Macaca fascicularis: one gene and its partner. The protein of the gene in region 2 purifies or fractionates together with the protein of the main gene of each other region. This does not show direct contact. Links are inferred from orthologs where the notes say so. Each region holds a gene or a part of one and is shown on either strand. Other genes may lie near its edges.

The links. Proteins that work in one complex are often made in the same cells at the same time.
Region 1: the proteins of PPP2CB (region 2) and PPP2R5E purify together in Homo sapiens (affinity purification with mass spectrometry; 5 studies listed by BioGRID and IntAct, counting the BioPlex papers as one, with this or other methods). This does not show direct contact. The link is inferred for Macaca fascicularis from reciprocal best matches to the Homo sapiens genes PPP2CB and PPP2R5E.

The regions. Positions count from the first base shown.
Region 1 is NC_088381.1:131,186,773-131,190,418, forward strand, and holds part of PPP2R5E (serine/threonine-protein phosphatase 2A 56 kDa regulatory subunit epsilon isoform), read right to left. Parts: intron 2,877-3,646; coding exon 2,777-2,876; 3' UTR 1-2,776. UniProt on the Homo sapiens protein: The B regulatory subunit might modulate substrate selectivity and catalytic activity, and might also direct the localization of the catalytic enzyme to a particular subcellular compartment.
Region 2 is NC_088382.1:34,024,242-34,028,680, forward strand, and holds the start of PPP2CB (serine/threonine-protein phosphatase 2A catalytic subunit beta isoform), read right to left. Parts: upstream 2,926-4,439; 5' UTR 2,516-2,925; coding exon 2,414-2,515; intron 1-2,413.

The DNA of each region.
Region 1 (3,646 bases), on a different chromosome or scaffold from region 2:
ACTACAATATTTGCTATTTTAAAAATATATTTATATATAGTTCTGGAAATTATGAAGCAAACAAAATATAACACAAAGATGCGTTTGTCACAATTAACTCAAGTTGCAGCAACAGCAGAATTGTGGGAAGGGACGGAGAGAGAGGGCTGCTGCAAATGCAGCAAGTACGTCCTGAAATATGTCACATAGTGCAACAGTCAGATTACCTCAGTTACTCTGCGTCACCGCACACAACGTGACTATGTCACATTGTCACTTTCCACTAAAAAAGAAAAAGACAGTGTTTCTTCTCAGAAGTTGCCCTATGAATTTTAGACATATAGCTTAATTGATTCTCTAAATATGTCTAAAATTTTATTCTTCTCAGTTTGGAATGATCAACATACAAAATTGACATCAAGGAGGAGAGCTGTAAGTGTTCACCTTTCCTCTTGAAGACAGGGTAAGGTGCAAAAAAGGATCCTGGCCTTTCTCATTTCAAATGACTGCATTTCATCCCAATGGGCAGAGATTCTTCATAAACCTGCGATTTTAATGTCTTCTACCTAAAAAGATGAATTAATGGCAAACAAAAGTTTATACTATCAAAAATAAATATAATGCAAAGTGGAAACTAAAGGGCTAAAATGACAAGGGCTAAAAAGGAGAAGATTTGTTAAAAATTTATTTTTTATCACTTTGTTCCAGCATTTTTAAAGTCAGTTGTTTTGTCTTTGGCAGCCTCTGCCAACTTTACAGTGAATCCCCATCAATGTTCTTTAAAAAGAAAAAACAACAAAAAAAAAAAAACAAAAAAAAAACTATTAATTCCATTAAACCACGTTGTGCCTGGTGTTGCATATGACTTTTTTTTTTTTTTTAACTGCTGGTTTTTTGGGGGTTTTTTTGGAATTAACAATGCCAATTTTGTTTTTGTTTTTTTACAAAGTTACCCAGATGACAATATCCATAATTAGCTGACTCTTACATACACACTGTGACCTGATCATCCTGAAAAACTTTATGGGGGAGAAAGGTCAGCAGTTTTTCTTCCTTTTTCTTGAAAATAATAGAACTGCATATTCTACTTTATATTCAAATGTAAGGAAGAAAATATACAAGCCCATATTTATATTGTATTTCTATTAAGAGCAACAATAGTTCAAATGTTCATGTTTGCTACTATCACAATTCAACACATGAACACAGAATCAGCTCTATTCCATGAATACTGCTGGAAGTGATGGTTTAGGATTACCAACTCACTGCTGCCATGTCCATAACAAGCAAAAGCATCCTGGAAATAAACCCCCAAACACATATCTTTCAGTACATAATAATTCAACTGCATTAGGTAAGTACATACTGTACACAAGTTTTATCAGCAGTTTGCCTACCCAAGATGTAAGATTCTTCATTTAAATACAAAGCAGAGAGCCAATAAGATATATATATATATATAATACAGCCCTAGATTTTGTTTTTTTTTTTTTTCTTAAACAATTTGGTCACGATGCACCTTTGATATAAAAGCATTTTTTAAACTTTATTATTAATACTCAGGACATTAGGAATTTCCAGATTTTTTTTCAGTAGCATTTGTAGAACCACTTTTGGTAACAAATACAGTAGTTAGGAATATGCATCCAATTCAGAATGCATAATAATGTTTATCCTGAATCCTTTCCGGCTAAAAACAGGGCTGGCGCTGTGATGAGATATAGAACGAGAATCTACAAAAAACACTGTAACATGTTTGTTTTTTCCCAGAGGCTACATCCTCTTTTGCTGGAATACTTTATAAATACATATTAAAAAGTAAGGCAACAACTCCAAACAGTCCAAGCTGTTTGCTCAACTCTTTTCCCAATTAGATTTGCAATCCTGGCGATCAATTTCATGGTTGTATTGTTTAGTGTTTGTCTTTCTTATTTCAAATGGTCCAAAAGGATGTTTTTCTCGCATTTCTAAAACATCTCTGGTATGTGTGTTCAATGATATATGCAACTAATACTGGTCAGGTACTGAAGTCTGTGATGTCCCAGTGCCTGTTTTCAAAGGATTCAAGACATTGATTTGGATTCACCATAAACTGATGCATGAATCCAATATTCCCTTCCCTACTATGTTTATCACCTCTTCTCTTTTAACTCCTAATTTTAAAACTGAAGGAGTACCAGGACTACCTGCTTACTGGAAAGATGTTCACCCCAGTAAACAGAACTTTTATCAGGGACTTTTATAATTCATGACCCCATTCCACATGGACATTCAACTCAGGAAGATGTGCAAAAGAAAAAGATGTCAAATTACAGTCAAGTTATCCAGAGGAGGATGTTATACAAACTTATAAGGAAATGACAGTCTTTTTTTCTTCCTTTACTATAAATACATTTAACAGCTTAGCAGAAAGACAAGCTAAATTTAAGATTGTTCACATTTGAAAATTGTATCATACTCTCTGCTAGTGATAAATAAGGAACTCCCGATAATGGAATTTTAACATAGCAATTTCATCAACAGATCTTTGAAGACCGATTTTTTTTTTTAAAAGAGGGTTAGAACAATGATTATGTTTGCAAAGTTCTGAGAAGTCCATCTACTGTCCAAACTTTGGATTGAAGTCCTTATTTTGTTTTTTCCTTTACTTAGAGACAGGTATATACAGTGCTGTTGTAATAATGAAACAAATGTGAAATCTACTGTAAAGTTGCACAATACAGAAAACTGTTGCTCCATCTTCTACTACATAAATGTGTGACTCCACAGGTTAGTAATGTCGTTGTCATTGTTTTTGTTAAGTTGGAATTATTCCATCACGTCTAAGACCTCTCTTTAACTCCAGATCCTCCAATTTTTTCCACAATTCTTCACGCTCCTTTTCTTTCTTTTTCTCACTGAGGAAGAAATACAATACAATGTAAACAGCTGAGGTTTAATGAGATTATGCAACAATGAATATTTTACAATTTCACCTTGACACCCCTTTATACTTAGCTTAATTCAGAAAATTAAAACTACTAAGAAACAAAAATGGGAATGACTTATATGCATCAGTTATTGTAAAATTAAGGGCATATTAGTGATTTTCACTTGCAGCTTAGTAAAAATCTTAATTCTTGTTTATCTCCAAATAGTTTACCAAAAAGGATGCTGGAGATGACACTGATACAGAGAATATAGTAGGTCAAGAAAATATATCTGCTCCTTTATTCATATCTATTTTTCCTACCTCATGTACATTTAAATTCTTCAGCAGTTTAGAAGAAACTGAAAACTTGTGATTTCACTTTTAATGATCTGAAAAGAACTTGGTTGATATTATTATGTATTAAATTTTAATGCATCAAGCCTTCAAATTGGGTTCAGTATCAATTTTACTGATTTTAAATTTAGTGATTTTCAGACTTTGGGATTTCACTGTTTGGTAAAATTTCCCCCAAAAATTGGATGTCCAAGTAAGAATCAACAAACTTTATTTTGCCAAGGATATTTTAAAATTACCACATTTTTACAAAAAAAGGATTTTTTAACATCAACCAAGTAGGAAGTACATGATGCAGGAATGTAAGACTATATTCTAAGTTAAATGCATTCACATTTATTAAAAATAATTCACTGCACTGTCTCTGGTTTTTCCATGTTGCAGTGGACCAATAAAAAGCAG
Region 2 (4,439 bases):
TAAAAAGAAAAAAAAAAAGCTAGTAAGATACAAGAGATAATCTTAAATATACCTGTGAAGTCCTAGGAACTGTTAGTTTGATTTATTTAGGAGCCGAAGTAAAAATAATCTCTCGACAAATACAGAAAGCTTCCTCAAGTGATCGTTGACACTCCGGTGTGATTATTTCAAAGTACAGCAGTGGTACAATATTCTTCTCTAGGAGTTCACCTTAAAATTATTAGAAAGTCAATGGGGACTGTGCACGAGGCTCGTGCCTGTAATCCCAGCACTTTGGGAGGCTGAGGGATCACTTGAGGTCAGGAGTTCTAGACCAGCCTGGCCAACAAAGCGAAACCCCATCTCTACTAAAAATACAAAAATTAGCAGTGCATGGCAGCGTGTACCTGTAATCCCAGTTACTCGGGAAGCTGAGGCAGGAGGATCCCTTGAACCCAGGAGGTGGAGGTTGCAGTGAGCAGAGATGGCACTACTGCACTCCAGTCTGGGCTACAGAGTGAGACTCTGTCTCAAAACAAAAATAAAACAAAAAAAAGAGTCAATGGAAAAAACTGATTCAACTAACACTTTGCCCTTAACTTCAAGTCTGTATTCTGATGCTCGTAGTCAGGTTAACTGACTCAGCTCATTTCAAACCTGTACATTTCACTTGGCATTGGAGCTTGAGAGAGATGTTTAAAGCATACATTTTAAGCCTCATGAAATTACAGGTTATCACAATAAAAATGAACGTCGACTGAAGTCACAAGTAAGCAGTTTGTTTCAGAAAGAGAAAAGTACCACCTGCTTGGCACTTCTATATACAAAAATAAATCCTCCTGTGTTAACAGTTACTTAATACACAAAGGCCCCAGCCAACATTACACCCGTTAAAAATACTATTTTAACTTAACACCATCTATTAGTGCTCCTTTCCTAAGTAAATTTCATGATTTTAAGAGTGTCCTAAAATTAGACTAACAAAATCTTTTCTTCACCTACTTCTGCGACGTCATGACTTCCAAACATTATGGTTAAGAAAATTGTATACATTACATCTTAAAATAACATCTTTACTTCTTCATGGACTTCAAGTGAGAATTTTTAACATAAAAATACATGAAAATTATTTAGTCCACCTTGTAAAGGATGAATTTGGAAAACTCTAGACTTTAAAGATGGAGAGATCGAAATAATTCCAGGAGTTAAGAAAACAATGGATACAGAATTCAGAAAGTGAAGATCACACACGATGTACAAGAACGAAATTGATCACCTGCATGTTTTATTATTCTTTGGAAAAGAAAAAAACTTTATATATATTAAAAACAAAAATAACTTTCTGCAAAGTGTTATCGTGCATGAAAACACACATCCCATTTATTTCCAGCAAACACTGTTCCCAAACTTAAGACCAGCTCTCGTTTCTGAATCAACGCTTTACTTCCAAGAGCCGCTCAACGCAAAGACCAGTCACCATCTGTTTCCACCAAAGTCAACCTCTATTTTAAAAATCACAGTTGGCCATCACGCCTACCTCTCCACAAACAAACGCTTGACACATTCAAGAGTCAGTGATTTTTTTTTTTTTTTTTTTTTGAGACAAGGTCTCGCTCTGTCGCCCAGGCTGGAGTGCAGTGACGCGATCTCGGCTCACTGCAGCCAGCCTCCACCTCCTGGGCTCAAGCGATCCTCCCACCTCAGCCTCCTGAATAGTTGAGATTACAGGCACCCGCCCTCACGCCCTGCTAATTTTTTAAAAAAAATTTTTGTGGAGACGGGGCCTCACTGGTCTCTAACTTCTGCGCTCCAGGCTGGTCTTTAACTCCTGGGCTCAAGCAATCCTCCCGCTTCGGCCTCCCGAGTAGCTGTGACCACAGGCGTGAGCCACCGCGCCCGGCTTGAGTTAGTGATTTCCGAGGTGCCCCGTTCACCTGACAAAAATTCTACATTTATTAACAAGTTCATTAATAGGCACGACATTCTGGTTAATTTTAGGTGCATTTTCAGAAACTGGTCTGAAAATGGTCCTTTTTCGGATGTCGCTTTCGTTATTCCACTCGGGAAATGCCAGAGTGGCAGGAACTCCAGTGGAGCGCAGGCGACCCCGACCAACCTCCGGCTTGGCTCCGGGGGCTATGGTTCCCCGCCCGCCCGCCCGCACTCGAGCCTCCCACCACCAGGATCTGGGCCGGGGGCGTGGGGCGTGTACCACGCGGAGGCAGAGGGGCCGGGCGAGGGCAGCCCAACGCCCCGGGGCCGGAACGGCTGGGCCGGCCGCCCGGGTGGACGCCGGAGCCGGACCCACAGCCCCGCGGGCCCCCGGTGGGCCGCGCCGGGCCCGGGGCCAGCGTGCGGACGGGCCGGGGCGGGCAGGAAAGCTGCGGCCCGTCCCAGTTCCGCGCTCCCGCACTCGCCCCCGCGGCGCCCTCACCTTCTCGCACAGCGTCCGCACTTGGTTCTCGTTCAGCTGCTTACACTCGTTCAGCTGCTCGACCCACTGGTCCAGCTCCTTGGTGAACGCCTTGTCGTCCATGGCGGCCCGATCCCGATGCGGATCCCGACCCCCGGCCCGGCCGCTGCCCTCCCCCCTCCCCACCCGCCCCCGGCCCCGGCCCGGGCGCCGCTCCCCTCTCCCTCAGCCGCCGTCGCCAGATCCCACAAGGGGAGGACCGAGCCGGGGAGGGCGGCCGCGGTCCCCGCGCCCCGCCCAAGCCCAGCAGGCGGCTCCGAGCGCGAGGCCTGTAGGAGACCCCCGCCCGCCCTTCCCCGCCCGGCCGCGCGCCGCAGGAGTCGGTGAAGGACGCGGGGAGGTGCTGGGAGGGCGGCGCGGGCCCTCGGACTAGCTCTCGCCGGACGAAGGCCGCCAGCTACCGCTTCAGGCCCGCCTCACGCCTGCCGGCCTCTCCCGGGTATCTTTCCCCTTCTCTCGCTCTTTCTCTTCCCTCCCTCCGGGTTTCCGTCATCGCTCGGGCATTTCCGCCGGGAAAAGGCGAGCAGGCGGCGGCGCCGCCGGGACACGGCGCGCTAGGGGCAGAACGGCGCCCTCGCGTGGCTTGGCGGAGAAACGGTCGGAGGAGGCCAGGATCCCTCCTGTCCCAACCCTGCCCAAGACCAAGCTCTGCTGGTTCTCCCTTTAGATATCCTGATCTCCGGGAACTTTGTCCTCACTTTAGCTTCCTGCAGTGCTTTTTCAGTGCTCGGAACAGGGAATTGGAAAACTTGGGCTTCCCTTAACATTGTCTCCCCAGAGTCTAGCACTCAATAGTAGGCATTCAATAATGGTGGAGTAAATTAATTATTTCCAGGCTTGCCTGTAGCCCTAACATCTTGAATCCTCCCTTTCAACATTAGAAAAGTGAAATGATTGCTCTGTAGGATAATCTGTGGCCCTTCTAGCTCCAGCGCTCTTGGCTGTGTTTTCTGCAATGTGTACTGAGTTGTAATGATTTGTTCATTCAACAAATATTTATTGAGTGAGACACAGCAGGGACCCCTCTTAGGGGCCTTCTAGGCACTCCCACCCCCACCCTCCCCAAGCATGGAAATAAAGGAAAATCTTGAGTTCCCCGAAGGGACATTCCAGGCACCTAACTTCCTCAATAAGTCAATGAGCAACCTGATAAGCAAGAAGGTAATAATAGCTTAAGACAGTAGCCAAGGACGTTAGATTCACAAAATGTTTGCTTCCCTATATAAACTGGAGACAACATATGTCCCTGAGTTGTTTTTCAGAAACCTGGACCTCACCAAATGGAAAATGGTGTCCACTATCATGGAGATCTCAAACTACCTATCTTTGTTCTAAATTTCTTCCTGAGGAGCCTGGAAGAATTCTCAAAGCTTTGCCTCCTTAGCCAATTACAAATCAGAAAATCTTTGAATCCACTTATGACCTGTGGGTCCCTACTTCAGATATCCTGGCTTTTTAGATCAAACCCACGTATAGCCTCCATGTATTGATTTATGACTTTGCCTGTAACATCTGCCTCCCTGCCTTTAAAAACCCTTACCTGTGCTGGGTGCAAGGGCTCATGCCTGTAATCCCAGCACTTTGGGAGGCCGAGGCCAGGAGTTGGAGACCAGCCTGCCAACATTGTGAAACCCCTTCTCTACTAAAAATACAAAAACTTCCTGGGCATGGTGGCAGGCGCCTGTACTCAGGAGGCTGAGGCAGATGAATTACTTGAAATCAGGAGATGGAGGTTGCAGTGAGCTGAGATCTCGCCATTGCACTCCAGCCTGGGTGACAAGAGCGAAACTCCATTTCAAAAAAAAAAAAAAAAAGCACACAAAAAACCTCTTACCTGTAAACCATCAGGGAGTTGGGGTCTTAAGCATGAGCTGCCTGATTCTTCTTGGTTGGTGTGATGCAATAAATGCCTCCCTTTCACTGCAAACCCCAATGTCAGTGTTTGGCTTTGCTATGCTGGTGGGAGGACCTAAATTCAGTTACGTAA